4 linked regions of the Caenorhabditis elegans genome follow. The protein of the gene in region 1 interacts with the protein of each later gene in a pairwise test. Each region holds a gene or a part of one and is shown in the gene's direction. Other genes may lie near its edges. The genes, in order: cand-1, cul-2, cul-4 and cul-6.

Region 1 (6,176 bases):
TTCAATTAAAAATCAATTTTAATTAGTTCGAAAGTTTGAACCGTAATAAAAAAGTTTTGAAACATTTTTAAAATATCTCAATTCAAAATGTGTTTATTTTAGCATATTTCGAGTTTACACAAGCTATTTCATGAGATCAATCGATATTCTTCTCGCTTTAGTTGCTCCAAATCGATAATTACCTCTGGAAATTGCGTCCTGGCAATTTTCAGAGAGAGCGAACGCGCTCCATTGCGAACCATTTGATTTTGAAATTGATGACTCTCTCTCTGCAAGTGGTTACGCAATTTTCTTTGCTAACAGTTAATTTTTTTCTCAAAATCTGCTGGTTTGGCCCTGTCACTCTTAATTTAGGCCGTTTTCTCTTAGTCGTATTTTTCTACTTTTTTAAAAATTCTTACCAAGGGTGTAATTGGAGAAAATCGAGAAATTTCGATTTTTTAATCAAATTTTTTTTGTGGAGAAAAACATAAAAAGGCATATTATTTTCTTATAAAATGTGGGAAAACACCCCAAATTTTCAGCTATTTTCCGAGAAATCGACTTTGTTTTCGAAAAATCAAAAAAAAAAAAAAAAAAATTTCATTTTTTTGATAATTTTTATTCAAGTTGACGAGTAAAAACTATAAGGAAATCGATATTTTTCTTCAAAAATGTGGGAAAAATAGCCCAAATTTTAAGCCATTTTCCGGACAAATCTACAATTTTTTTTTTGAAATTTCAGAAAAATTTTAACAAGACTGTCAAAAAAAAATTCGGCTAAAAAAAAGAAACTGTTGGTTTTTTATCGTCATACCAACTAAAATATAACATTTTTGAAGAAAAAAAAAGAAGTTTTTTGGTCCGAAAAACCTAACAAAAATTCCATTTTTGGAAGTTATTTTCCTAAAAATCTAAATTTTTCTGGTGAAAATCGATGAACAAACTTTAAAAAAAAATCAAATTTTGTTTATGCTGATAAACATTATTTTATTCATTTTTGAGAAGATTTTTCAAAAAGTCGAAATTAAAAAAAACCGGCACCCCTTGAAGCTTATCTCCAATTCCAGACCACCCATACTTTGTCGGAGCCCAATTCCATCCCGAATACCTTTCCCATCCACTCACTCCATCTCCACCATTCTTCGGTCTTCTGCTTGCCGCAACTCGTCAACTTAATTCATATTTCTCTGGGTCAAGAAGTCCGGCTCTTCAAGTTGTAAATGAAGAGGAGCATCTTCATCATACAAAAGAGAATGACTCGGAGGAGAAGCGTGAAGATGTTGTTGGAGCAATGTTGGGGAAACTGAAACTCGAGGGAAATGCTGTGCCAGGAACTCAGAGATTGGCTTCTTTCCATTAATTGTTTCCTCAATTTTTCGTCGTTTTTTTTCACTTTTTTTGTAGTTGAGTAGATGATTTTGTCAGAAAATCGTCTTAAAATTTGCAGAAATTGACCGATTTTTTGCCTTTTTTTGAGCCAAAAATCCATTTTTCGAGCTGAAATCGCTGAATTTTTGGATTTTTTGCAGTTTTTGAGCCAAAAATCCATTTTTCAAGCTGACATTGCTGAATTTTTGGATTTTTGCTCTCCGAAAAGCTATTTTTTGTGCGAAAAACGGGAAAACGCTCAAAACTTGGTATTTTTCGATTTTTTTTTCAATTTTTGCCGTTTTTTGAGCTGCTTATCTTAAAATTTACATTTTTGCGCCAGAAAACTCATTTTTTCAGCCGATTTCCCAAAAATATGCCTAAAAAGGAACACTTTTACCCCGAAAAGTGGTTTTTTTTTTTGAGGCAAAAATGTTTTTAAAAATCCAAAATTTGAGCGAAATATGTAAAAAATGGCTTTTTCCACCAAAAAACTATTTTTTGATCTGAAATTGCGATATTTCAAGCTTTTTTTCCCAAAAACTGGCCTAAAAATACCAATTTCAGTCCAAAAAATTATTTTTTGACTCAAAAAATTGCCAAAATCCGCCAGAAAAACGAAAAATTCAGATTTTTGCAAATTTTGAGTCAAATTTTCGAAAAAATCGACCCTTTTTCGTCAATTTCAGACCATTTTCAGACAAAAATCCCTCCAGTTTTTGTTGTTTTTATTCTTATTTTCTGATATTCCAAAGATAATTTTCTTCTTTTTTTTCGCATTTTTCTCGTCGTTTTTGTCCTTTTGTTATCCTTGTTTCTGTTTTTTTTTCATTAATTTCTCCCATAGTCACCTTCATTTTTTCCCGGATTTATTCAATTGTTGACCCAGTTTCATAGATTTTGTTCTCTACCAACACCCGATGAACTTCGTTTTTAGAGTTTTTGATCACTTATTTTGGCGCCCAAAATTGTCTATTTTCTTGCCTCTTTTGGTTATCTTTTTCACGTTTTCAGACCCCGAAAAGTGATTTTCAGACCAAATTTTGTTTCCAGATGAGTGCTTATCATGTCGGGCAACTGGTCGACAAAATGTCGAATCCGGATAAGGATTTCCGGTTCATGGCTTGCAATGATTTGATGAAAGATTTGCAGACTGGAACTATCGCTTTGGAGGACGATTCGACTGCTAAAGTATAGTAAAATCTCAAAAATTGGCGGTTTTTGGTGCAAAAATTGCTTTAAAAAGCTAAAAAATAACCCTAAAAATTGAATTTTCCAGTGAAATTTTATTGTAATTTTGAAAAAAAAGGTGAAAAATAGCTAAAATCTGTACTTTCAACAGAAAAATCTGTTTGAAATTTCAAAAAAAATTTTAGCTGAAAATTGAAATTTCTACAAAAAAAATTCGAAACCGGCAAAAACCGTAATTTTCTACAAAAAAAATTATTTAAAAATCCGAAAAACTGCTAAATTCTGCTGTAATTTAAATTTTTAACGAAAAAAAAATTATTTAAAATTACAAAAAAAAACTGTTTATTTTGGCAAAAACCGGAAATTTCTGCCAAAAAATGTTGAAAATTCAAAAAATGGCTAAAATTAACTAAAAACCGCCGGAATTTAAACAAAAATTCCAAAAAAAAATTCAAAATTTAGCTAAAATCTGAATTTTCTAATTTTTTTCAGGTCATTCGTGCTCTAATCAAACTGCTCAGTGACTCAAACGGAGAAGTTCAAAATCTTGCGATCAAATGTATTGGACTCCTTGCTCAGCCATCGAAAATCAAAACGCATCATGTCAGTAATCGGAAAATTCAAAATTTTAATTTCGGTGTTTTTAACGGAAAAAATTGGAAAAAATACGACAAAACTGGAGATTTCAATGAGAAAAATACGAAAATTCCTTCAAAAAATTAAGAAATGACTGGAAAGTTTGAAAATTTCGTACAAAAAATGGAATTTTGGCTGGAAATTCGAATTTTCAGTCGATTTTTATATAAAATTTCAGAAAAGTCACATTTTCATTCAATTTTTGGAGGAAAACACGAATTTCCAGTCAAAGTTTGACAAAAAAGTCATTTTTTGGATGGATGGTCAAATTTTAAATCAATTTTTGTCGGAAAATTCGAATTTAAAATAAATTTTCAGCGTGAAATTCAATATTTCTACAATAAAAAGTTTAAAAAATTGGAATTTTCAGTCGAATTTCCACAGAAAGTTCAAAATTTCAGTAGATTTTTCAACATTTCAACGGGAAATTAAATATTTAACATTAAAAATTTTTGTTTAAAAAAATTATCATTAAAAATTTGAAAAAATCCCAAATTTCAGCTGGAATATCTCGTCGAAGAGCTCACTCCACACGTTTTTTCGAAAGCTGAACAATCAAGAGATATTCATTCTCTCACACTTAAAGCAATGATTCTAAATTTGGCTCCATCGGCTTCAAGTAATGCAACAACTACAGTTGTCAAGAGAATGTTGCCAAAATTTGTGGATTCTCTGTCGTTGTGTGCTCCAGATGATGCGGCTCGTGTCGATGTTCTCGATTTGATTGGAGAAGTTTTGCTGAGATTTGGTGATGTTGTAAGTGTGGATTTACACCCGGAAATCCTATTTTTTGGGCTTTTCAAGCCTTAAAATAGCCCAAATGAGCCTTTTTTGAGCTCAAATATCTTCAAAATTTCAAAAAAAATACCCCAAATCTAGCCAAAAACCGTCATTTTGCAGAAATTCCGTTTTTTTCTACATTTTGTCGTCAAGTCCGGTGTCTTGGCGGTGTTTGCTCACTTTTGAGGCTACAGTACTCTAGAAAACAGCCATTTTGCTCGTTACCGGGATTACTGTACCCTTAAAAGCACGCAAACACGACATATTGCGGAAAATATTGATTATTCTGCATTTTGCCGTCAAATCCGGTGTGTTGTCAGTGTTTGCGAATTTGTGGAGCTACAGTAACCCTAAAATTGAAAAATTGTCAGTTTTGGGTTTTTTAAACCAAACTTTCAAAAATTTTCCATTTTTTGCTTTAAAAACTCTGAAATAATGCCAAATTTCGAAAAAAAAACGAAAAATCCAACGCGATTTTTCAATTTTGGCTAATTTCCTCCAAAATGGGAATTGCGACCAATCAGCGATTCGCCCCGCCCACTTTTCAACCAATCAGATGGAATTCAGCCGAAATTTCACGTTTTTCCCGAATTTAAGACTATTTTGGCACTTTTTGAAGCAAAATCTCACACATTTCTAGTTCCAGGTTCCCGAAATGCACAAAGGATCGTTGAAAGTGATGGTAGATCACTTGTATTCATTCCGTTCCGCTATCAGAAAGAAGGCAATCACTGGAATCGGACATCTTGCCTCTGTAATCAACGGAGAGCTTTACGATGAGCTCGTTCAAGATTTGCTCAAAGAGCTGGCTCAACGATCCCCTCCATCGTCGGCTGCTCAAAATGTGCAACTTCGTACACTTGTGATCGCGTTGAGCACTGTCGCACGAGCCAGTGGATCGAGATTCTCGAAGCATACGCCGAAAGTTGTTCCGTTCCTTCTTCAATATCTTCAAATTGATCCTGGAACCGAATCGGAGCACGATGATCTACGGGAAGCTTCTATTCAAGGATTGGAAGTATTTTTGTACCGGAATCCACAGGAAGTTGTAGCTTTTGAGAAGGAAGTTATCCAACAGCTCACTGATGCACTGGCCTATGATCCGAATTACGAGTATGGAGATGATGATGAGGATGAGCAAATGGAAGATGATGAAGATGGTAGGAAACTGTGCGAAAATTGAAGATTTTAAAGATTTTTTAGCTGAAATTCTTGATTTTGGAGCTTTTTTTAGCCTTAAAGGTGGACTACGCTCAGTGGGGATATTGCTTTAAAACACGCCTATGGTACCACAATGACCGAATATCATGATAAAAAAATTCAAAAACATTTTTCTAGATTTTATATGATTTTTTGAAAATTGAAAAAAATATCAGTTTTTGCCTAATTCCTATTTGAATTTCCGCCAATTGAATTTGTTCGAGGGAGCGCGCTTGCACGTTTTTAAATTTATTTATTTATTTATTGTTATTTTCCACCAACTTTTAAAGTTTTCGGTGTATTTTTGCTCGAATTTTAGAGAAAAAGTCAAAATAAATGCAAATTTTCGATTAAAAAGCAAACGTACAGGCGTAAAAATGAAAAAGTAACGCTTTTAAACGATTTAAAACCTGAATTAACTAATTTCCTGGTAGCGTGCTTTTTAATCGAAAATTTGCAATTATTTTGACTTTTTCTCTAAATTCAAGCAAAAATACACCGAAAACTTTAAAAGTTGGTGGAAAATAACAATAAATAAAATAAATAAATTTAAAAACGTGCAAGCGCGCTCCATCGAACAAATCCAATTGGCGGAAATTCAAAAAGGAATTAGGGGAAAACTGCGATTTTTCCAATTTTCAAAAAATCATATAAAATTTGGAAAATTTTTTTGAATTTTTTAATCATGGTATTTGGTCATTGTGGTACCATAGGCGTGTTTTAAAGCAATTTCCTCGCTGAGCGTAGTCCACCTTTAAATATTCAAATTTTTTGCAGACGACGAAGATGAATACAGCGACGACGAAGACGTCACATGGAAAGTTCGCCGCGCCGCCGCAAAAGCCATCGAAGCAATGATCTCATCACACCGGGAATCCCTTCTCAATCTCTCGCAAAAAATCGGTCCAGTAGTGATTGGACGATTCAAAGAACGCGAAGAGACTGTCCGAACTGAAATCATCTCAGTCTACATTGCCCTACTCAATCAGATCTCCATTTTGGTCCCAGATTTGCAGAAG
Region 2 (8,182 bases), on another chromosome or scaffold:
TGTTTTCCCATCACGGCTATCCGCCGAGACGTTCGATGATTGTAGACGACGATATTTCCTGCGTTGTTGCCGATTACCAGTGTAGGAGTACTTGGGGACCATGCAAGACATGTTGGGAGCTCTCTGGAATGAAGCAAGTTTTGGTGTATCACTTTTTAAATCTGAAGTACGTAGAAATACAACGAAAAATCTGTAATCTTTTGAAAACTCCAAAAAATCTCACAGTTTCAAAATTTTGAAATAATATTTTGTAACCGTATTTAGAAAATGCCCCCGTTTTTCAACTCACTTTGAAGAGGTCGCTCCACTCTCAACAGTATCTGTATTCCGCGAGTTCACATCCCATAGATAAATAGTCCCGGTATTTGCTACGGCAATCGCTAGTACATCACCTTCCTTATCCCAAGCTATGTCGATAAGTTTTCTGGAAGTTGAAAAAAGTGTAAATCACGAAAATCTTCTTTTTTCTTTACATTTCAAAAAACTCTGAACTCACCCAGTTGGATTCAACGCGTCAATAACATTTCCTTTCTTATCGTAATAGATGACCGTGTTATTGGCGCTGAAAAGTATAATTTATTGCTTGGAAAAGCTCAGCTTTAAAATGCATTTAAAAAGCTTCAAATTCAGAAATTCCAGAACCGATAATAATAAATTGAGAAATAATGATGAAAATTCAAATTTTCAAAAATCTGAACAATCAGCGATTGGCTCCACCCATTTTCAAACCAATCAAGGTCTTTGCAAACGCATTGGTCATGAAGCTCCCATTTTGGAAAAAAAATCAAACAGGACAATTAGCCAAAATTGAAAATCCTACTTCTAAAAGTTGGCTTTAAATTCTTTCTCGATTTTTTTCGTCTTTTTTGGAGTTTTTGAATTTTGAATATTTTAAAGAAAAATCTTTAAAAAAGATACTGTTAAAAATAAGAATTAAACAAAAAATAAACAAACCATGCAACAGCTACAGTATGCCCATTTGGTCTCCATCGATGAATAATCGGTCCACTTCCGTGCTCTTCTTCGCCTCTTCGATATTGAAGCTGAGCAGAAACACATTTAAATACTTCCTGATTTTTTGTGAGAGTACACGGAATTACCTTTAATGACATTTATATGAATGAAGATCTCCGTTGTTTTCGACGTTTGCCACTGCTCCCCTATGATTTGTCACTTATGTCACGAGCCTACAAATAATGGTTACAAAAAATGAAGTACAAATCATTGAGCTACCCGAGCCTTTGGGGAGTTGTTGCCTTGGTAACCGGGCTACACAGTGTGTGTTGAGCACGCAAATTGAGGAAAGAACAGGGGAAGTGGAAGAGGGGATTTGATCATTCCCGGTTTGGGAATAATGACAATTAGTAGAATTTTCTGGATTCTCGAGAAAAAAAAACAAACCGCAATTTCATCTTTTTATGTGAATATCGAACAAAAATATTTGATAAAATTATTCATTTACACATCTGGGGCAAATACATTTGTAATGGGAGAGCATTACGGGTACACTAAATTTTGAGAAGTATCTCATAGCGAAAACTACAGTAGTTTTTTTAATTAGTACTGTAGCACTGCTCCGATTTTATTTTGGTTTTTGGCCATTTATTCCAAGTTTAGCCAAAAAATGCACAAAAATGCCAAAAGGGTATTCTTTTTTTTAATTTTTCAATATTAAAATTTTTAGAGAAAACTTTATAATCAAATTCCAAAACGACTCCACCTTTAATAACTTCAAATATTAATTTAATTTTAAATTTTAGACTTCAGAAAATTATTCTTAATTTTTGTTCTAAACAGATTTCCTTTTTAAAATCCTCCTTTTCTCACATGTCACATTTTTCATTGTCATTGCCAACTTCTAACATATGACGTTCAATATATTTTTAACGTTTGTTATCTCTTTTCAATATATCTTCTCTAAAAATCAAATTTCAGCTTCTCCACCATATCCCCGAAAATCTTCAGTGTAACCTCCACAGGAAACCGGTCCGAGGTTCACCGTCCACAGGCAAAACTGGCGTCGAATACACAGCCGACATCGAATCGTACGACACTTGGCCGCCGTAAGGCAATTTCTGACGACAATTTTCCCGTCGTTGAGCCGATATTGAAGAAAATGTGAGTGCGTCTGCTGCGCATCGATCGATATTATTTGGTTTATGACCCCTGGTTTCTCATTTTTCGGTTTGAATATTAAATAATTGAACGAATTAAAAAAAGAAAGAATAATTAAAATCACGTGATTCTTTTTATCAATTAAATTTTCGTGTTTAGTTTTTTAATCCGCATTTCAAAAATTTTCGCTTTTTCCGTAAAAATGGCAAGTTCCACAAAAGTTTCCTTACGGTACCCGTTATTTTTTTTTGAAAATTTCGCACAAATTGTCATCATTTTCAGTCGTCCACCTCGTCCACAGGTTATGTACTCACTGAAGCCAAAAGTTGTGGAATTTGACAAAGTATGGGTGCAGTTGAGACCATCTATCATTGATATCATCAATTTGCGGCCGATCACCAATGTTCAGTGGCATCACAAGTTTAGGTAAGTTTTGAAGGAAAAGTTTGATTTTTTCCAGTGATAGAAATTTCAGAAAGTATCATTTCTGTCATTCAACAGATTTTTCGAATTTTTAATTTGAAAAAAAAGATTTTTTGGGATTTTTTGTTCAAAAATGTCTTGATTTTTGGCCAATATCTAAAGTTTTTGTGCAAAAACTATTTATATATAAGGCAAAAATTACCTTTTTGTTATTAATCCGATTTTGTAAAAATGTTATGTTTTAAAAAATCAATTTTTGAAGTTATTTTCAGCAATCGCGTTGTTTGTAAGCAACAATCCTAAATTCGATTTTTGACAGAGAAAAAAAGTTTTTCGAGGATTTTGTCCACAAAATCCGAAAATTTTTTGACAAAACTATTTTTTTTTATTTCACGTGTATAATTCACTGAAAAACTCAATCATTATTCCAAGAATTGTAAAAAATTGCTCCAAAACACTAACATTCACTTATTTTCCGATTAATTCAGGATTATCCGAAAAATCGATTTAAAAAAACATTGTTGCAAAATCGGATTGATGATCTTATAACCTCTTAAACATACTTTTTAAAACCATTTTGGTAGTATTTTTTGAACAAAATCCATTTCTGGGAAAAAAACATGAGAATTTTTGAAAAAAAAAAAGATTTTTGTACTTTCCAAAGAAAAATGTCAAGAATCACAACTTTACGATACGAAAAGCTGGATTTTTATAAATTTTTAATTTTTTTAAATATTGTTTTCAGTGACGTCTACGACATTTGTGTATCGATACCGACTCCATTGAGCGAGCGATTGTATAATGAGGTATCTCGAATTTGACGTTTTCGACGAAAACCGAAAAAAAAAATTAAAATTCTACTTTTTTCTTCGGATTCTACTATAAAAAAGGATTTTCTAGCGAATTTGGTGATGAGACTACAAGATTTCCATTTTTACAGGTGAAGGCTTGCATTCAAGAGCATGTTCGACAAAAGCGTCAAGATATCGTCGATGTTGATCCGGATCTGTTGCTTCAGGAATATCACAAAATGTGGAGAGTTTTCCATGAGGGAGCCATCTTTATTCACCGTCTCTTTGGGTTCGTGTGAAATTTCTTCGGAATTCTTTTTAAAATTCAAACAATGATCTGAAAATGCTCCAAAATGCATTTTTGTGAAACGTTTTCACTGCGTCGTTGTAGAAGAAAAAGAATTGAAAAATACCCAAAAAAAAGAGAATTAAAAAAAAACATTATTTACAGATACCTGAACAAACAATTCGTAAAACAGAAGCGATGCACCGATTTGGACAATTTCGCGCAGTACGCCGCTTTTCTGCAGATTCCAGACGTCAAGGAGATCGGATGTGTGAGTTTGCGACAAAAAAATTGCGCCAGGTTTTTAGAAATTTCTTTATGTTTTCGACGAAAAAGTGGGTGGAAATAAAATCCTAGGCCACGGAGATGACTTCCGTGGCCGATGATTATCAGTTAAGACCACAGTGCGCTTTTTCAAAATTTTGTGTTCCTGGAAAATAACTATTAAATAATTGAGAAGTTTTGAACCAAAAAAACAAATCGAAATTTTCAGCTCGCACTAGAAATCTGGAAAGAAGACCTCGTGAAGACCATTCTCCCGCAGCTCGTCAAACTTCTGCTCATCGCGATTGACAATGATCGGAAAGGAAACTTCCCGCATATCGCCAATGAAGTCTCCGGCGTCATTAACAGCTTCGTTAAGATGGAGGAGACGGATTTCGACGTTGTACCGGCAGAAGGAGCACGCTATAAGGCTCGCGAGTCGACAACGGCGTTCTATCAGGAGAGCTTTGAGAAACCGCTTCTTACGGATACGGAACAGTACTATTCGGCGCTCGCACAAAAAATGCTCACCGACCTCAGCTGCAGTGAGTACATGGAACAGGTTATAGTGCTCCTCGAACAAGAAGAGATGCGTGCGAAGAAGTATCTCCACGAATCGTCGGTGGAGAAAGTTATCACGTTGTGCCAGAAAGTTATGATAAAAGCTCACAAGGATAAACTTCACGCAGTGTGCCATGATCTCATTACTAATGAGGAGAACAAGGACCTCCGCAACATGTACAGACTGTTGAAGCCCATTCAAGCGGGACTCTCGGTAATGGTTAAGGAGTTCGAGGAATATGTGAAGAAGAAGGGGCTCGAGGCGGTGTCGAGGCTCACCGGCGAGAATGTACCCCAGCAATTTGTGGAGAATGTGTTACGGGTGTATAACAAGTTCAATGATATGAAGACTGCTGTGTTCATGGACGATGGCGAGTTCTCTAGTGGACTCGACAAGGCGTTGCAGGGAGTCGTGAACTCGAAGGAGCCAGGACAGTCGGTGCCGAAGGCCAGTGAGCGGTTGGCGAGATATACGGATGGGTTGCTCAAAAAGTCCACGAAAGGACTATCGGAGACGGATTTGGAGGCGAAACTCGACAGTGCAATTGTGATTTTCCGCTATATAGAGGATAAGGATATATTCCAGAAGTTCTACTCGAAAATGCTCGCAAATCGGCTTATAGCAAGCACATCGATATCGATGGACGCCGAGGAGCTGATGATTAACAAGTTGAAACAGGCGTGTGGTTATGAATTCACCAGTAAACTGTCACGAATGTTCACCGATATCGGGCTTAGCCAGGAGCTATCGAACAACTTTGATAAGCACATTGCGGACATTAAAACTGTGCAGCCCGACGTGAAGTTTGTGCCGACACAGACGATGATTCTGCAGGCAGGTAGCTGGCCGCTCAACGCTCCACAGCTCTCTACGAATTCGAATAATCAGACCGCACAAGACGTGGCCAACTTCCATCTGCCACGTATCCTGCAGCCTGTGATTCAGGAGTTTGAGAAGTTCTACACTGGGAAGCACAACGGGCGAAAACTGACATGGCTTTTCAATATGTCACAGGGAGATGTCAGGCTTACATACCTCGATAAGCAGTATGTCGCACAGATGTATGTCTATCAGATGGCAGCGCTGCTTTGCTTTGAACGTCGCGATGCTATCCTCGTTAAGGACATCGGAGAGGAGATTGGTGTGAGCGGTGACTATCTGCTAAAGACGATTCGAACGATTTTGGACGTTACCCTGCTGACGTGTGATGATCAGAATCTAACGGCCGACTCGTTGGTTCGTCTGAACATGTCGATGACGTCGAAACGGATGAAGTTCCGGCTTCAGGCGCCACAAGTGAATAAGGCTGTCGAGAAGGAGCAGGAGGCCGTCGCGAATACTGTAGGGTTTTCAGTTTGTTTTTCATTGGCGAGGGCCTCAAGTTATGACTTTTTGAGTTCAAGCACTAAAAATCTGTATTTTATTTAGTCCTAGACTTTAAAAATTTTTAAACGATCTCAAAAACCAAGTTTTAAAATGAGACACCTTGAAAAATTCTCAGCATTTTTATGACGGTGGAAATTAAAACAAGCCAAGCTCAACTAAAATCTCAAATGCTGAAAAATCTTTAATAAAGAGTTTAGGTGTTTTTTCGAAATTTTAAACCTTCGTAAAATTTTTTTAAATGTCTCACTATGAAATTTGGTCTTTTGTGGAAACTTTGAGTCAATTCAATCAATTAAACAATTTATCTGCTCCCTTTTTGAGCCAATGAGCCTAAATCAAAGCTATAAACTGTGGCCTAGAATTCTGAGAGACTAGACGTATTTAGTTAGGCCCCGCCTCGATGCAGCTAGATTATCCAAACACGTGTGCCTCGCAATCGTCAATATTAGTTCCAGGTTTCACAAGACCGAAAGTACTATATGGAGTGCGCAATTGTCAGAATTATGAAGACCAGGAAGGTTCTGAAACACAATGCACTTGTCACTGAGGTTTGTTAGATTTTTGTTGTTGGTCAAAACCCTGTAAAACGAGATATTCAACCGACTGAAAATGCTTTACAAAAATATTTTTGTTTGAATTTTGAACCAAGAAACTGAAAATCAAAAAGTGGATTTTCCTCCAAAAAAGAAAAACAAACAATTTTAGAAACAGTTTTTGGTCCGGAACCCCCCAAAAAAAAGCGAAAAAAATCTTTTTGCAAAATGTGCTATTCCACATCAAAAATGCGGAAAACAACATTTTCTTGCAGATAATGGACCAAACGAAAGGCCGCTTCTCGCCCGACGTACCATTCATCAAAAAGAGCATTGAGGACCTTATCGAGAAAATGTATATTCAGCGAACCGATCAAAATGACGAGTATCAATATTTGGCCTAATTCTCTCCCCCTATTTGCGTGTTTTTTCCCTGAGAGGCAAAAAACTAAAATTTAAAATTTACACTGTGTAAATGACTCTGAAACATGCCATTCAAAATCCCCACTATAATTTTATTTTTCAAGATTTTCTAACAATGATTGCTTTTTTTCCAAATTGAACTGTACTGAAAGTAAATCCCCTCGCCCCTCATCTTACATATTTTATATCATTTTTTGCTGGAGCTGCGCAACGGGGAATCATCAAACTGTTTATTGGAATACCTATTTTTATACTTTTGGAGCCCTCAAAAACTGAAAATCGCGGGAAATTCTCTGTTACTCCCGACAAACGGCTATTTGCCTATAAAACCAACCAGTCCGTAGCCTCTCCTTGAAAATGTATATGTACTATATTTGTCTTTTTTTTGTGTTCTATCCTCCCTCCTCAAGCAACTATTTTTTCTCCGGAATCTCTATGATTACGATAAAGTAGACAATTATCCTTCCCAAAATTCCAATTTTGTTTCATTTAAATTTTCACGTTTTTGAACTTGAACTTTGATCCACGACACTCTTACGGCACGTGGCAAGTCATAATGGAAAATTTGAACGTCGGTAGTTTTAAATTTATTACTGCGAAAAGAATCGATCAGCGATGCCACGTGTCAAAGTGTTCTTCGATATCACGATTGGCGGAAAGAAGGGAGGACGCATCGTTATGGAGGTAAGGGGGGCAGCGTTAGGTTCTCGGAGCAAATATGATTACTGTAGGCGCTAGTGGTATGTCAGTTTGCACTTTAATGAGTATAAATTGAGAAAATCGATATAATTTTTTGTTGCCATTTATCGATTTTTGTCGTTCTGTTATCGGTTTTTAGGATGATTGTAAAATCTTTTTCAATGGTCTTGCAGAAATTTGCCAGTTTTTCGACTTTTCAGGAAGTTACTAGATTTTGGCAACATTTAAAAATCAATAAACTAAAGATTTTTAAAACCTGTCGTTGCAGCTCTACAACGACATCGTGCCGAAGACAGCGGAAAACTTCCGCGCTCTGTGCACCGGCGAGAAAGGAAAAGGGAAATCGGGCAAGAAGTTGCACTTTAAAGGATCCAAATTTCATCGCATCATCCCCGAGTTTATGATCCAGGGCGGCGATTTTACGGAGGGAAACGGCACCGGCGGAGAATCGATTCATGGCGAGAAGTTTGACGACGAGAACTTCAAGGAGAAGCATACCGGACCCGGAGTCTTGTCGATGGTGAAGATTCTGAAAAACTAAAAAATCGATATTATATTTACTCAAGTTATCGATTTTTCTGTTATTGTCGATATTTGATCAAATTTTCTTTGAAATTTTTGTGAATATCGGGCTTTCTGAAATTTTATGCGCTCTGGAATTGACTATTGATTTTTCAGGCAAACTGTGGGGCGAACACAA
Region 3 (7,567 bases), on another chromosome or scaffold:
AGCATGTGCTGTATTTGTAAGCATTCGTAGAAAACAATTTGAAAATATCTTCCAAATCTTTCAGGACAGTACCCTATTCCTTCATGGTGTTTCCAAGCGAAAGTTGAATGATCACGAACTACACATATTTAGTTCGTATCAGCATGATCTAAGTGCATTCAAAGAGTTTGTCATTCTATTCTCGATTGTTTTGAAAATTAAGCGTTTTACAGTTCATCATCTTCATTTGATTCTTTCGAAGCCTCGTTTCCTACAATTCCAAAATTCTGTGGAGGGTATGATGATTCTATTGAAGTGGTGTTGGATTCTTGTATTGTTCGAGTAAGTTTTTTTTTCCAATTGTGTATAGTTAGAACCATCTGGTTTTAATGTAAATCTTCAATATTACGGTATCAGGGGTCGACACGATCGGAAATTGATAGGTCAAAGACGCTTCGAGACCAATTACCGTATTCTTTTGTCAGAATCTATGAAATAGTCACTTCACTTTTTAATTACTACAATTAACAAATACGGTTTTTTTCTAGAATAATCACGTCTACGTTGGAGATCATCTTATCCGACCATTAACAAACTTTGAGAAACAGAAAATACAGTTAGTTAAAATGAGACGAATGTATGGAGAATCAAAAAGGAAACGTAGCAAAAGAAGCTCGAAACCATTGTAAGTTCATCCAATATTCTGCATTTTCAAATAATCTTGTTTCAGGCCTGGCACACGACCACAAAGAGATTTTAGTGAAATGCTTCACAAACTTTTGAATATTAACTCTACAGTAACTTCTCGATTCCTTCCAGTAGTTAGTCAAAGTCCTCTCTTTGCAATGGAAGGTCCGTGGCAGAATTTGTTTGAACTCGGGAAAGGTGATTTCCTTTCTTCGAGATATTTGTTATGAAAATTAAACATTTCATTATTCCAGATAAGGATATGATTGAATTATTAGCTGCTTCACAATTTAAACCCCAATTACCACCCGTTGCATCAGTTCCAGTAGCTCCAGTCATTGATATTACGAAGATTGATTCTCCGTATAGAGCCACTTTTACAACAATGAAACCAAGAAAATCACAGAAACCAGAAAAAAAGAAAGAAGTTTTCAATGTTTTCACTACTAAAACTAATCCTCAAATTACCACGACTACTATGACAACCACAACAAGAACATCCACAGGTAACATCTACAAGACAACTATTTGAAAAATTCAGTATATACAACATTTTCAAAATTGCAATTTATAATTAATAAATTAAGTTAACATCCGATTAAAGCTGTCAATTTTCAGCCATTCCAACAACTACCACAACTCCAAGACAAATATCACTTCAAACGATTCCATTTTCAACCACAACTAGACAACCAAATTTTGATAAAACCAAGACTCCTGCAACAATGCCATCAGCTTCTTCTTCTTCACTTTCAAGTATTCAAACAGTTGTTGATCCAATTATCTTGAAGTTAATTTCAAAGGCATTGGAAAAAAATGAAATGATTGATGAATATTCATTGAAACAGGCTCTATCGATGAGAAATGTTGCAACTACTACTGTAGGTTTAAATCTTTAATACATCTGAATTATCAATTATTTCAGACTCCTCTTCCACTTCGTTTCATTCTTCCAACACCTGCAGCCCCAAATCCATTTCTACCGTCTACAAGAGTTGGAGGTCTTTCTCATAATCATCTATTCATTCCCCATCAACCGTTTACTACTCTTGTTTCGACCGATTCTAGATATTCTGCACCGAACCCTCTTTCTCATCGACTTCCAAACGAGATTTGCCGAGTTCATATGAATTCAAATCCTTTCCATTTTTAGTTTTATTACTCTACCAAATAATTAAACAGACTTTTCCTATCGGGTCCCCTAATTTTCTTTCATTTTTCAGGCATCTCGGTTGTTTTTTTCAAAGTATTTTGACCTAATTTTCCATGTTGAAATTAATAAAATATTTATTAAATGAACACAAACACAGATGTTGGAATTGTCTTCTTCTGGTCAAGTACTGGATATACTCTCTTTTTTTGATAATGCTGAATTGATAAATTTTTGGTTCCAATGAAAGGATCAAACATTGTAGAAAATCTTTACAAAAATAATTGTAGACCTACTATTATAATAAATACAGTTTTATGCAGAGTCTGCGTCTCTCAATATGAACAGCCTCTCAAGCACTAGAGATGCGCCAGCACGCCGCGCGTCAGCAAACGTCTTTGGCCTCAGTTTGCCTTCAAAATAATGCATGAGTTCGGCATTTCAAATATTATTTAAGCCAAATTGTTTTTCTAAACTGCGGAAATCTAATTTTGAGAAAAGGAAATTTTAAATCCAATCGTTTTATTTTAATCTTAAAATATCTTTCTATATAAAACCGCCAACCGTCCTGTTTGTTTCTTCAGAGATACTAATAATCTAACATTTTCAACAGAACAAATTGGATGACATCTGGAGCACCACCGACTATTTCAACAGAAAAAAGTCGAAGTAAACAGCTTCGAAAATCGTCAAAGCGCACAGCCAGCACCGTTGAAGGTACAGAGGTAGTAATTAAATAATATTTTCAATGTGAGAAAAAATAAATTGCAGGCTAAGCAAATGCGCGGCGACACTGAAAATCGTTCCGACGGAGAAATGGACGATGTTTCAACAAGCAGCGAAATCAGACATGGAAATGGATTTATTGAGAATTTCAGAGTGAGTTATTAATTTATTAAAATGTTCATCGGTGGGAAGTTTTCAGAGTCAAACCGGCAATTCTTCACGCACAACCGCAACAAATGAACGCATCAAAAAGAAACTTGTGATAAAGAACTTTAAAGGTAATATTTGTAAAGTTTTCATTAGTTATTTTGATTTCCAGCGAACGCGAATCAAAATGATGTTGCGATGGGGGACACCAATATTGATAGTAAGTTTATTCTTCGATAGGTGTTATATTTTGTTTGATATCCAGGTACAGACGGATCAGTTGGTAGAGATTGGGCTGTTCTTTCGGATAATGTTTTCGCTATTCTTGAAGATAGGAAAACAGTAACCACTTTGGAAGGCTTATTCAGCGTAAGTTTTTGATTGTTTAAAACATTGTAAAAACTGAGCGTTTTCAGAAGGTCAGATCTGTGTGCGATAAAAATCAATCAAAAGTACTTTACGATCGTCTCGTTGCAATTGTTGTTCAGTTTGCAAAATCATTAAAGGAGTCGTTAAATGCGGTTGAGCAAGTTCCTCTTGCAGAAGACAATTGTGAGCAATATTTGGAAAAGTTTGGGCAGATCTGGCAAGCATATCCAGTTAAAATCGTAAGTGAAGAGTTTTATTTAAAAAAAAACAATAGATTTAACTCAGAATCTCATCAGGAATATTTTTCTTCATCTGGACCGAATTGCGCTCGGCGCTACAGACACAGAAATTCTCCCTTTGTGGGAATGTTTCATGCAAATATTTCAAAAAACATTCTTCCCGAACATTTTCAAGGAATTCAAAGCAACAAAACTGTTCAATGCTCTCTATATGGCGATGCAGAAAATTATGCAGAGGTATCCAGTGGACAGTCCTCTCAGAAGTCTTGTAGATATGCTTCAAACAGTTCATGTGTCTGAAGAATTTGCAAAATTCCTTATTAGCCAACTTCGAGAGCACTATAACAATGAGAGAATCGATAAAGTTCCAAAAATGAATGTAGGTTTTTATTTTCATTCTTTGAAAAATCTCGATTACTTATATTTATTTTAGTGCAACGATTACATGGAATACTGTGAAGACCAGATAAATCGATATTCGCAATTAGTGAAAGTGAACTTTGATGAACCGTCGGCTCTAAAAGATGTTCAGGCAACAGTGACAAACTGTCTCATTCAACAAGCAATTCCTGAAATTCTCACACATGATTTTGACGATCTTATCGATTCTGATAACATTTCGGATATCGGCCGAATGTTTAATTTGTGCCGTCAATGCGTTGGTGGAGAGGATGAAGTACGTACACAATTCTCAAAGTATTTGAAAAAACGCGGAGAGAAATTGATTGCTACGTGTCCTGATGAAGATCTTGTTTCTGAGCTACTTGCTTTCAAGAAGAAAGTTGATTTTATCAGTAAGTATTTCAAAGTTCTCTGTTATTTTTATTATTATCAAAAATTTTAAATTCCTCATACGTGGATCATTAATCATATTTCAGTGACTGGAAGCTTCAAATCCGCAAATGATCCAGTAAAAATGAGACAATGTTTGTCAGATGCCTTTGAATCTTTTGTAAATAAACAAGTCGATCGATCTGCAGAACTTATTTGTAAGTCATAATTCGAAATTTCTATATTATAATTTCTATTTTTCAGCAAAGCACTTCCACACACTTCTTCACAGTAGCAATAAAAATGTATCAGACGACACAACTCTCGATCAAATGGTAGATGAAGCTATTGTGTTGTTCCGATATCTTCGTGGAAAAGACGTTTTTGAAGCATATTATAAAAGAGGTCTTGCTAAGCGGCTTTTCCTTGAAAGAAGTGCATCTGTTGATGCTGAAAAGATGGTTTTATGCAAGTTAAAGACAGGTATTTAATACTTTTTAGTTTTCAAATTAATAACTTTTTGATTTAGAGTGTGGCTCGGCGTTCACATACAAATTGGAAGGAATGTTCAAAGATATGGATGCATCTGAAAATTATGGAAGATTATTCAACCAATATCTAGAACATATGAACAAAGAAAAAGCGAATTTCACTGCTCGAGTCATAACTCCAGAATATTGGCCAACCTATGACACATATGAAATTAATATTCCAAAAGAGATGAGAGATACACTTACCGATTATCAAGATTTTTACCGTGTTCAACATGGAAATCGGAATGTTAAATGGCATCACGGACTGGCTTCTGCGGTTATTTCTGCTTCATTCAGGCCTGGATGTAAGAAAGAATTAATTGCAACAATGTATCAAACTGTCATTCTTCTTCTTTTCAACAAATGTGAGACATGGACTGTCGCTGAAATTGTTGAGCACACTAAGATTCTGGAAATTGAAGTCGTCAAAAATGTGCTTGCACTTCTTGGTGGACGTGATAAGCCTAAGGTTTTGCAGAGAGTCGAAGGAGGTGGATCCGAAAAGGTAACTAACTTTTCATTCAACTCAACTAAAAATGTCTTTGTTTAGAAGGAAGGTACTGTGGAAAATTTGAAAAACGAGAAATTTGTTGTAAATTCTAAATTCACGGAGAAGCGCTGCCGAGTTAGGATTGCTCAGGTCAATATAAAGACAGCTGTGGAAGAGACGAAGGAAGTGAAAGAAGAAGTGAATTCTGATCGACAATACAAAATTGACGCTGCTGTTGTAAGAATTATGAAGGCTCGAAAGCAGCTAAACCATCAAACTCTAATGACGGAGTTATTGCAACAATTGAGGTAAGTTTTCAGAAAAAAAACTTTATTTTTAAATTCAAAAAATTCAATCAATTTTTTATTCGAGAAATAGTAATATCAATATAAGCCGAAAAATAAAAACTGGTTTTGAAATTTTTTATGAAAATATTGAATGTAAAATATAAATTGGCACACAACTACAAACCAAAATCAAAGGAAATGTAAAAATTGAGAACTTTTTCAATACTCTCAAAAACATAGCATTTAGTAAATTAATATGAATTTTGACATTTTGAAGCGATTTCCTTGATAAAAATTTGTCTAAATTTTGCTAAATTTGCTGCTAAGGTAAAATAAATGTTAATTATTCTAAATGAGTTTTTTTTGTTTCAGATTCCCCGTGAGCACCGCCGATATCAAGAAACGCCTGGAATCACTCATCGAACGTGAATATATATCGAGGGATCCTGAAGAGGCATCTAGCTATAATTATGTTGCGTAATACATAATATCATTTTTATTCCTTTTTCAAATTCAATCCTTATCCGTGCCACTGGTCTCTTCTCATCTCGTTTGCCCTGTTATTGAACAGTTTTCTTCCTTTATTTGTGCGAGTTTCGTCTTTTTTAGAGAAAAATGTACTAAATGTTAGTTTCTGTTTTTTCAATTATGTTTTTCTCTTCACCTAACATGTGCATCCAAAATACTGTTGAATACATGGTTATTTGATTGAATTCTTTATACGAAATTACTCGAATCGGTTGAAATATCCGTGATCTTACATTTTTTTGGTTTTTTTTTTCTTAATCAATTTTCAAAGTTTCTCGTTAAGCAGACACAAAATGGTTCGAACCTGCTCGAACTGCGGAAGTTCTGAAATTGATGAGGATGCTGCTAGAGGAGATGCTACGTGCACTGCGTGCGGAACTGTGCTCGAAGAATCCATTGTCGTAACTGAAAATCAATTTCAAGAGCGAGCTGGTGGATCAGGTCACACTCTAGTCGGTATGTGGTAGGAATGTTAAAAGTATTTACAAAATGTTATTTCAGGTCAATTTGTGTCCTCAGAGCGAGCTGCAGCTAACAATTTCAATGGAATGGGATCTCAAGAATCTCGAGAAATGACGTATGCAAAAGGCCGGAAAGTTATTGATGAGCTCGGCAGTCAGTTACGAATAAATTCACATTGTATGAACACTGCATTCAATTTTTACAAAATGTGCGTATCTCGTAACCTGACACGTGGACGTAATAGATCATCCGTTGTTGCTGTTTGCATGTATATAACTTGTCGACTAGAAAACACTGCTCATTTGTTGCTCGATTTCAGTGATGTCACTCAGGTATGACATTTCGGTAAACTTTTGTAATTAATAAGTGCAATTTCAGATTAATGTCTTCGATTTGGGAAGAAACTTGAACTACCTTTCTCGTTCATTGCGTATCAATCTCCCATCCACGGATCCTTGTCTTTACATTATGCGATTCGCATGTGTTTTGGATTTTGGCGACAAACAGAAAGAAGTTGTGAATTTGGCGACAAGACTAGTACAAAGAATGAAAAGAGATTGGATGTCTACTGGAAGAAGACCAACTGGAATCTGTGGAGCTGCTCTTTTAATTGCTGCAAGATCTCTTAATTTCAATCGATCCATTAATGATATCGTTCGTGTTGTACACATCAGTGAAGGCGTAATCAGAAAACGTCTCGATGAATTCAGTCAAACCCCTTCGGGAAGTCTTACGATTGATGAGTTTTCAACTGTTGATCTAGAACATAGTGAAGATCCACCAGCATATCGAGAATCACGACGGAAAGCACGTGAGGATCAATTGAGAAAAGAGGCTGAGCAAGCAGAATCAATGAAAGAACAACTAGGAGAAATGGAAGCTCACGTTGAAGCTGCACTCGATAAGAAGAGGAAGGAAAAGTTTTCAAAAAGTCCATATGCACGAATGATTAGTGAAAATCTAGGTAAGGAAAATGATAAAATGCAGACGCTTACTGAAACAGTTGTGGAGAGTTCAGGGTTGGAAAAAGGAGCTGATGAAATGGTACGAAATGAAATTATCAATACAGTTTTCAACGCTGCTGAAGAAGATCCTTGGTGAGTTTTCTTTGTATTTTTAACTCTAGGTTTGTTTAAATATTGTAATTACAGCACCTCGAACTCATTGGAAAAATATGATAAGTATCGTCCTTCGCTGGA
Region 4 (7,466 bases), on another chromosome or scaffold:
GGGAAAGTCATTTTCAAGAATGTCCGATTCGCTTACCCAGAACGCCCAGAAATCGAGATCCTGAAGGGTCTCAGCTTCTCAGTGGAGCCCGGACAAACTCTCGCTCTCGTCGGACCATCAGGATGTGGAAAGTCTACCGTCGTAGCGCTTCTTGAGAGATTCTACGACACCCTTGGCGGTGAGATCTTTATCGATGGCTCCGAGATCAAGACGTTGAACCCTGAGCACACAAGATCACAAATTGCAATTGTATCCCAGGAGCCAACACTGTTTGATTGCTCAATTGCAGAGAATATTATCTATGGCTTGGATCGTGAGTTATCATTTATACAACAATCATTTCATTAATTGATTGAATTTCAGCTTCCTCAGTTACCATGGCTCAAGTTGAAGAAGCAGCCAGGCTTGCGAACATCCACAATTTCATCGCAGAGCTTCCAGAAGGTTTTGAGACTCGTGTAGGAGACCGTGGAACCCAGCTCTCCGGAGGTCAAAAACAACGTATCGCTATTGCACGCGCCCTGGTAAGGAATCCCAAGATCTTACTCTTGGACGAAGCTACGTCAGCACTGGACACAGAATCCGAGAAGGTTGTCCAAGAAGCGCTGGATCGTGCGAGAGAGGGAAGAACCTGTATTGTGATTGCTCATCGTTTGAACACAGTGATGAATGCAGATTGTATTGCTGTCGTGAGCAATGGTACTATTATTGAAAAAGGTAAGCAGACTTTCAAAGAGCCTTCCTATCCCTAATCTTGTTATTTTTACAGGAACCCACACACAGTTGATGTCTGAGAAGGGTGCCTACTACAAACTGACCCAAAAGCAGATGACCGAGAAGAAATAAACTTTAAATCATTAATTTTGTGTAGCTTTCTTTCTCGATTTTTGCACGATCTTTCCCCTAAGCATATTAATAAGTCGTTCCTCTGTTTTGAGTTACTTTTGAAGTTTGAATTGAATAAATATTTTCACTTGAGTCTATCTAGAATCATTTTCAGACTCTCAGATATGTGCGACAGATGGATGTGCATATTAAATCCTGTAATGAAAATTTTTTCTACATAATTACTCAACTTATGTTTTCATAACTTCAATTAAATTTTTGCTACTTGCTCGGCATTTGGAGGCTAGCCTTAATCTTTAAGACTGAAAATCAACTGGAATCAGTAGTAAATTTTAGACGCAAATATCTCGAGTTCTAGATGTCCGCGGCAAAAACGGTCCTTTACGTTCGAGAAGTTCATAATATCAGCTATCGAATGGCACTGAATTAGTTTGAAAATTCTAAACCCTCTGCAAACCATTCCCTTGTGAGAGAACATTCCAATTTTGCAATTTTGCAAAAAATGCAAGTTATCTTAATGTAATTTAAAAGCCAAAGTTGCTCTCCATGTGCTACCACAATGTGTACACCGAACTGTTGATCCAAACTACACATATCTGTTTGCTCTCCAACTTTTCCTCATTCTCTGCCTCTCATGAGTCATCACCGTATGATAAGGAACTTATTTCATGAAATTTCATTTGTATCACTACTTGCCGTCGGTTACACCTATTTCAACACATCTTCTCAGTTTAAGAAATAATTTCGGGTTTTTGAAAAAAGTTCTTAAGTTTGTAGCGTGAATGAATACGTATACATATGTATGAGTTTTCCCAGTTCAAAAGGTAAATCTCGAAAGAATTCAACAACATTGAAAAATTTCGAAAAAGCCGTTTAGTTAATGTGCTGGGGCGGTATTTAGGGCATTTGGCATTATCAAGAAGTTATGATGCTTCTTCTCTTATATTTTCATTCCTCAATTTTTCGGAGGCACTTTTTTAAACCATGCTCCTATTTTTCAAACTAGTAAGACACCGTAAATTGGTAGCATGTAAGGTTTCCACATTGTTAATAGTATGACCTTACACTCAAATAATAAAAACTTAATAACTGAACAAATATTTAACTTATAATCTTATCTAATGTTCTAAATCAAGTTCAACATTCATCAAAGAGTTTCACTGTCTTTAATCAATCTTTCACCGAACACACATCATTTCAAGTACCATAGCATCTGAGAAAAAATGGATCATTTCGAAATTCTTGCTAACATTACTTTTTTCTCTAATTCTCTTACGCAACAGTCTACCACCTTTTCACATTCTCTCTTCAGTTTCTGTCCGCGCTTTCTGCATTTTAAACTTTTCCTTCTTTAAAAAGAAACGTTATTATTATTATTTTCAGCTACAATTACCTGAAAATGAGCATCGAAGCAGTGTGGGGAACATTGCAAGATGGTTTAAATTTGCTGTATCGAAGAGAGCATATGTCGAAGAAGTACTATATGATGCTTTATGAGTAAGTCTGCGTTAGTTTTGAAATTTTGCTTGTTTTTAGTTTTCTGATATATATATATGAAATTAAAAAAATATATTTAACCTTACTTTTTCATCTTATGTGGAATTTTTTTGCTGATCATCTAAAATTTGCCTAAACATCGGTTATAAATTTTCTTTTTTGGTTGAAAAATTTCGGAAAATTGAGCATAGAGACAGAAAAAAAAGTCAAAATTAGTTTATTCATTTGCTCGGGAAATAAAATGGAAATCAGGCCTTTCAACTTTTTCTTTTGCAAATTGAAAAAAATTTAAAAATTGCAGAAAAATTATTTGGTAAAATGAGAGAGTTTTTTTTATGATTTTCGGCAAACCGGCTAACTGTCACAAAACTCAAACAAGTTATTTTTTGGCTTTTTTAAAATGTCACTACAATACAAATTAAAAACCTTCAACCAGGGGTGCGCGGCACTCGGAAATTTCCGGCAATCGACAATTTCGGCAAATGCCGGTTTTGAAAATTTTCGGCAAACTTGCCGAAATTGCCGACTGCCGGGCATTTTCGGCAATCGGCAATTCCGGCAAGTGCCGGGTTTGGAAATTTCCGGCAATTGCCAAAATTGCTGCAATTTTCAATCCTAATTATATTTCGGAAATTGAAATAATTTCACATTGTTTTTTAGTACTCGGCTAGTAATTTTTTTTAAAGGAAAACGATAAATCATTTTGAGCTTGAAAATTGAAAATTGTTCATTAAAATGCCATGTTCAGGCTCCTAAATCTAAAAAAAGTTTCAAATTTATATTCCCGGCAATTTTGATTTCCGGCAATCGGCAATTCCGGCAATTATTCGATTGCCGAACGGCAATTGCCGCACACCCTTCCTTCATCATTACAAATTCCAGTGCTGTCTATAATATTTGCACAACAACAACACTTGCCAATTCAAATAATAATTCGCCAGAATTTGCAAGTGAATTTCTCTACAAACAACTTGAAAACTATATCAGGACATATGTGATTGCAATTCGAGACAGAATATCAGCGTGTTCTGGTGATGAACTACTCGGAAAATGCACCATCGAATGGGACAACTTCAAATTTTCTACAAGAATCTGCAATTGTATATTTCAGTATTTGAATCGAAATTTTGTTTCGAAAAAAGTAGAAGACAAGAATGGAGAAATTGTGGAAATTTACAAACTGGCTCTAGACATTTGGAAGGCTGAATTTTTTGATAATTTTAAAGTTAAAACAATCGATGCTATTCTTGAATTGATACTTTTGGAAAGATGTGGATCGACAATTAATAGCACACATATTTCTTCAGTTGTCGAATGTCTGACGGAACTTGATATTTACAAGGTTAGCTTTGAACCCCAGTTCCTTGATGCCACAAAACTCTTTTACAAACAAGAGGTGCTGAATAGTAAAGAGACTGTTATAGAATACATGATAACTGTTGAAAATCGACTGTTTCAAGAAGAATACAGGAGTCGACGATATCTTGGACCATCTACAAATGATCTACTGATTGACTCATGCGAATCTATTTTGATTTCCGATCGGTTGAAGTTCTTGCATAGCGAGTTTGAACGTCTTTTGGAGGCTAGAAAGGATGAGCACCTGACGAGAATGTACAGTTTGTGCAGGAGAGTTACACATGGACTCGAGGATTTGAGGTGAGCAAGTTGACCACTTTGGAAGCAAGTGTTGTCTCTGAGTTGCTCATCCATACTATGTATGTACTGCCGTACAACTTGGGATCCCTGAATAATTTTTCGGAAAACTACTAGAAACTTCCGGAAAGTTTGTTAAAACTGTCAGAAATGTTGAGCAAACTTTTTTAAAAGTTTCAGAAATTTTCAGAGTTGTTCAAAAGTATTGAATTGAATACCATTTTTAGAAAAATAAACATTCTAATTCTAAACAAACGAAGTTTCAGGGTGTATCTCGAAAAGCGAATTTTAAAAGAAGGACACGAAACATTGCAAAGACTGGCTAAAGACAGTGGACTAAAAACTACACCAAAGGAATACATAACCAAACTCCTTGAAGTTCACGAGATTTATTTCAACTTGATAAATAAAGCATTCGATAGAAATGCACTTTTCATGCAATCTCTCGACAAAGCTTCTAAGGACTTTATCGAAGCTAATGCTGTGACTATGTTGGCTCCTGAAAAACACCGAAGCACAAGGTCTGCAGACTATCTTGCAAGATATTGTGATCAGCTCTTGAAGAAGAATTCCAAGGTTCAAGATGAAACGGCGCTAGATAAAGCAGTGAGTTTGCTTTTTTCAACTCTGAACGTCGCTGCTCCATCACATTTTTCTGTACGAAAAATTCCCTTTATAGATCAAAACATGATGGGACAGCCTAACACCACGTATGTAAAAAAATCCCATTTTCAGTTAACGGTGCTCAAGTATATCAGCGAAAAGGATGTCTTCCAATTGTATTATCAAAATTGGTTCAGTGAACGAATCATCAATAATTCTTCAGCAAGTGATGATGCAGAAGAAAAGTTCATTACAAATCTAACTGCAACAGAAGGTCTCGAATATACTCGCAATCTTGTGAAAATGGTCGAAGACGCTAAAATTAGTAAAGATTTGACTACTGAATTCAAAGATATCAAAACGGAAAAGTCGATTGACTTTAACGTTATTCTTCAAACAACTGGTGCATGGCCAAGTTTAGATCAAATCAAGATTATTCTTCCGCGAGAATTATCGACAATTCTCAAAGAGTTCGATACATTCTACAATGCGAGTCATAATGGACGAAGATTGAACTGGGCTTACTCACAATGCCGGGGCGAAGTTAACTCTAAAGCTTTCGAAAAGAAATATGTATTTATTGTGAGTTTATCTATAGTTATTCAAACTTATTATTTTTATCAGATAACATTTTATTAAAAATTTTAAAATCAGAAGTCAGCCTGAAGCAGAAGCAGAAGAAGAAGCCAAACTGCTTTTTGAAATCTTAACTTATTAAAAGTTAGAATTTTCCAGGTTACAGCAAGCCAACTCTGCACGCTCTATCTTTTCAATGAGCAGGACTCGTTCACAATTGAACAAATTTCCAAAGCTATTGAAATGACTGCAAAGTCAACTTCGGCTATCGTAGGATCTCTTAATCCGGTTATTGATCCAGTGCTAGTAGTTGACAAAGGCAACGAAAAAGATGGATATCCACCTGATGCCGTAGTGAGTTTGAATACGAAGTATGCGAACAAAAAAGTGCGAGTGGATTTGACAACGGCAATTAAAAAAGCAACAGCAGATCGTGAGACAGATGCGGTTCAAAATACAGTTGAAAGCGATAGGAAGTATGAGATCAAGGTATTTTTTTTAATCGAGACTATGAAATTATTTGCAAGCAAGGATATGTTTAAAAAAAAACATGGCAATTAACTTGCAGGCATGCATCGTAAGAATCATGAAGACACGGAAAAGTCTCACCCACACATTGCTCATTAATGAGGTAAGAGGCTAACAATATAAGTAATTTTGTTTTTCAATAGTTTAAAATAATCCAAATAGTTGCTCTTTTGTATAGTTTTATCACTGAACTTTTATTAAAAATTTTCCGCAACTGAATTAGTGGCAAAACACAATTTAAAAACACGGGTTTCAAGAGCTTGGTAACTTTAATTTTTTTCAGATAATTAGTCAATTGAAAAGCCGGTTTACGCCAAATGTGCAAATGATCAAGATATGCATTGAAATCCTGATTGAGCAGTTGTACATACGTCGATCAGAAAACGAACACAATGTCTATGAGTATTTGGCATAAAATTACTGGCTTTAGTTTATTTTTTAATTGTTCAAAGAAATAAATGCAATAAAGTATTGTGAATATCATCCACATGACGTTTTTTCTAATGTATTTCCAGGACTAAAATCTACCTAAATTTTCACATGAAATTATTATTAAATAATTCGCCGCCGACATCGATTTAGTTTCGCGATGAACCACTCTATTTTTCGTCTGCGTCTGCTTTTTGGGACTTTGGAAAAAGCATTTATACTTACATATTTCACAGTTCGTAACTCCTGAGATCATTGATCCTTCATTTCTCCCACTAAATCAATAGCTAATCCTCCTCCTTCTTCCTGCCGAGAGAAACTCAAAGACGATATTTGTAAAGTGTTCAACTCCCTGCGTATCTCATTCTCCCATTCTTTCTGTCTTTTGAAACCTTGAAATCTTTGGGTCATTTATATTACTCCATTTATTTTTAAAACTTATTCCCTGCCCAAGTTCTATTAATCTGTAAAAATGTCAATTGTAATGTCAGCCGGCAAAGGAGTGACTCAAGTAGTCGAACGATGTGAAGCTGCAAAAGAATCCGGGTTTTTGGGTGAGCTTAGACTGTTTTCTGTAGTCGCAATGAAGGCGTAGGACACATTGTAGGCATCTGTGTGCCTACATGGTAGGCGCACACAAAGCAGACCGTTTTTTAGAAGCAGAGTAAAGTTTTACGAAAACTATTTAATATTTTGAACAATTCTCACCGAAATTCCAAATAACATATTGTTTTCAGACCTTTCATCTTGCCAGTTAATGTACATGGCTGACGCGGTGTACATGTTAATTAAGGGATACGAAATCACAAAAGTACGTTCTAAAAAACCTATTCCTAAAAATGTTCAGTTTCAGGTTAGTATTCAAGATAACGGCTTCAAAAAATTCCCCAAAAAATTTGTGATCAAATTTCCAACTGCCACTAGTAAGTTTAAAATTTATCATTTAAGCAAAATTCTGAAACATTTCAGTCCTAAATATGGCTAACAATGAAATCTCTGAAATTCCCGAAGAAGTTGCCACGTGGACAAGTTTGAAAGGGTTAAACGCTGCGAAGAACAAGATTTCAAAGTTTCCGGAGCCATTTTTACAGCTGAAAAATTTGATCTACTTGGATCTCAACGGTAATCAACTTGAAGGTTTGTTGAAACAGAATAAAACAGAAAATTGAAAATTTTTAGAAATCGACGTGGATTTGTTCTACTCATCTTTACCGGCGCTGATAAAGCTGAACTTGTCTGGAAATGAAGGATTGGGCGATGAAACGAAGAAGAAGTTGAAAGCTTTAAAACCGGAAAAATTGGATCTAATTTTATGAACTTTTGCCTAAAAT

Evidence for each region.
Region 2: the proteins of cand-1 (region 1) and cul-2 interact in a two-hybrid assay, tested with the Caenorhabditis elegans proteins (one study listed by BioGRID).
Region 3: the proteins of cand-1 (region 1) and cul-4 interact in a two-hybrid assay, tested with the Caenorhabditis elegans proteins (one study listed by BioGRID).
Region 4: the proteins of cand-1 (region 1) and cul-6 interact in a two-hybrid assay, tested with the Caenorhabditis elegans proteins (one study listed by BioGRID).

Annotation. Positions count from the first base shown.
Region 1 is NC_003283.11:16,800,471-16,806,646, forward strand, and holds the start of cand-1 (Cullin-associated NEDD8-dissociated protein 1), read left to right. Parts: upstream 1-2,401; 5' UTR 2,402-2,403; coding exon 2,404-2,541; intron 2,542-3,033; coding exon 3,034-3,144; intron 3,145-3,678; coding exon 3,679-3,933; intron 3,934-4,603; coding exon 4,604-5,117; intron 5,118-5,934; coding exon 5,935-6,176. Other genes in the region: ctps-1 (CTP synthase), read left to right, coding at 1,050-1,342.
Region 2 is NC_003281.10:13,685,334-13,693,515, forward strand, and holds cul-2 (Cullin-2), read left to right. Parts: upstream 1-2,317; coding exon 2,318-2,346; intron 2,347-2,397; coding exon 2,398-2,541; intron 2,542-3,283; coding exon 3,284-3,344; intron 3,345-3,478; coding exon 3,479-3,618; intron 3,619-3,780; coding exon 3,781-3,886; intron 3,887-4,108; coding exon 4,109-5,782; intron 5,783-6,276; coding exon of another isoform or gene 6,277-6,282; coding exon 6,283-6,375; intron 6,376-6,635; coding exon 6,636-6,764; downstream 6,765-8,182. Other genes in the region: WD repeat-containing protein dyf-2, read right to left, coding at 1-123, 290-424, 497-562, 955-1,043, 1,101-1,112; cyn-2 (Peptidyl-prolyl cis-trans isomerase 2), read left to right, coding at 7,399-7,467, 7,751-8,002, 8,161-8,182. UniProt on the Caenorhabditis elegans protein: Core component of multiple cullin-RING-based CBC (Cul2-ElonginB-ElonginC) E3 ubiquitin-protein ligase complexes which mediate the ubiquitination and subsequent proteasomal degradation of target proteins.
Region 3 is NC_003280.10:7,299,672-7,307,238, forward strand, and holds cul-4 (Cullin-4), read left to right. Parts: upstream 1-2,429; 5' UTR 2,430-2,439; coding exon 2,440-2,541; intron 2,542-2,587; coding exon 2,588-2,695; intron 2,696-2,741; coding exon 2,742-2,820; intron 2,821-2,861; coding exon 2,862-2,909; intron 2,910-2,954; coding exon 2,955-3,058; intron 3,059-3,105; coding exon 3,106-3,297; intron 3,298-3,343; coding exon 3,344-3,676; intron 3,677-3,730; coding exon 3,731-4,091; intron 4,092-4,175; coding exon 4,176-4,286; intron 4,287-4,332; coding exon 4,333-4,551; intron 4,552-4,597; coding exon 4,598-5,106; intron 5,107-5,151; coding exon 5,152-5,399; intron 5,400-5,750; coding exon 5,751-5,859; 3' UTR 5,860-6,087; downstream 6,088-7,567. Other genes in the region: C30G12.1 (uncharacterized protein), read left to right, coding at 1-16, 65-165, 213-321, 528-664, 710-864, 921-1,172, 1,285-1,547, 1,592-1,819; brf-1 (B-related factor 1), read left to right, coding at 6,200-6,362, 6,408-6,700, 6,747-7,332, 7,372-7,465, 7,520-7,567. UniProt on the Caenorhabditis elegans protein: Component of cullin-based E3 ubiquitin-protein ligase complexes which mediate the ubiquitination and subsequent proteasomal degradation of target proteins.
Region 4 is NC_003282.8:12,585,208-12,592,673, reverse strand, and holds cul-6 (Cullin-6), read left to right. Parts: upstream 1-2,222; 5' UTR 2,223-2,245; coding exon 2,246-2,343; intron 2,344-3,225; coding exon 3,226-4,002; intron 4,003-4,265; coding exon 4,266-4,605; intron 4,606-4,734; coding exon 4,735-5,184; intron 5,185-5,337; coding exon 5,338-5,667; intron 5,668-5,746; coding exon 5,747-5,809; intron 5,810-5,989; coding exon 5,990-6,121; 3' UTR 6,122-6,189; downstream 6,190-7,466. Other genes in the region: Multidrug resistance protein pgp-1, read left to right, coding at 1-313, 364-717, 770-846; K08E7.8 (Leucine-rich repeat domain-containing protein), read left to right, coding at 6,608-6,689, 6,873-6,946, 6,989-7,058, 7,105-7,272, 7,315-7,451. UniProt on the Caenorhabditis elegans protein: Probable core component of cullin-based SCF-like E3 ubiquitin-protein ligase complexes which mediate the ubiquitination and subsequent proteasomal degradation of target proteins.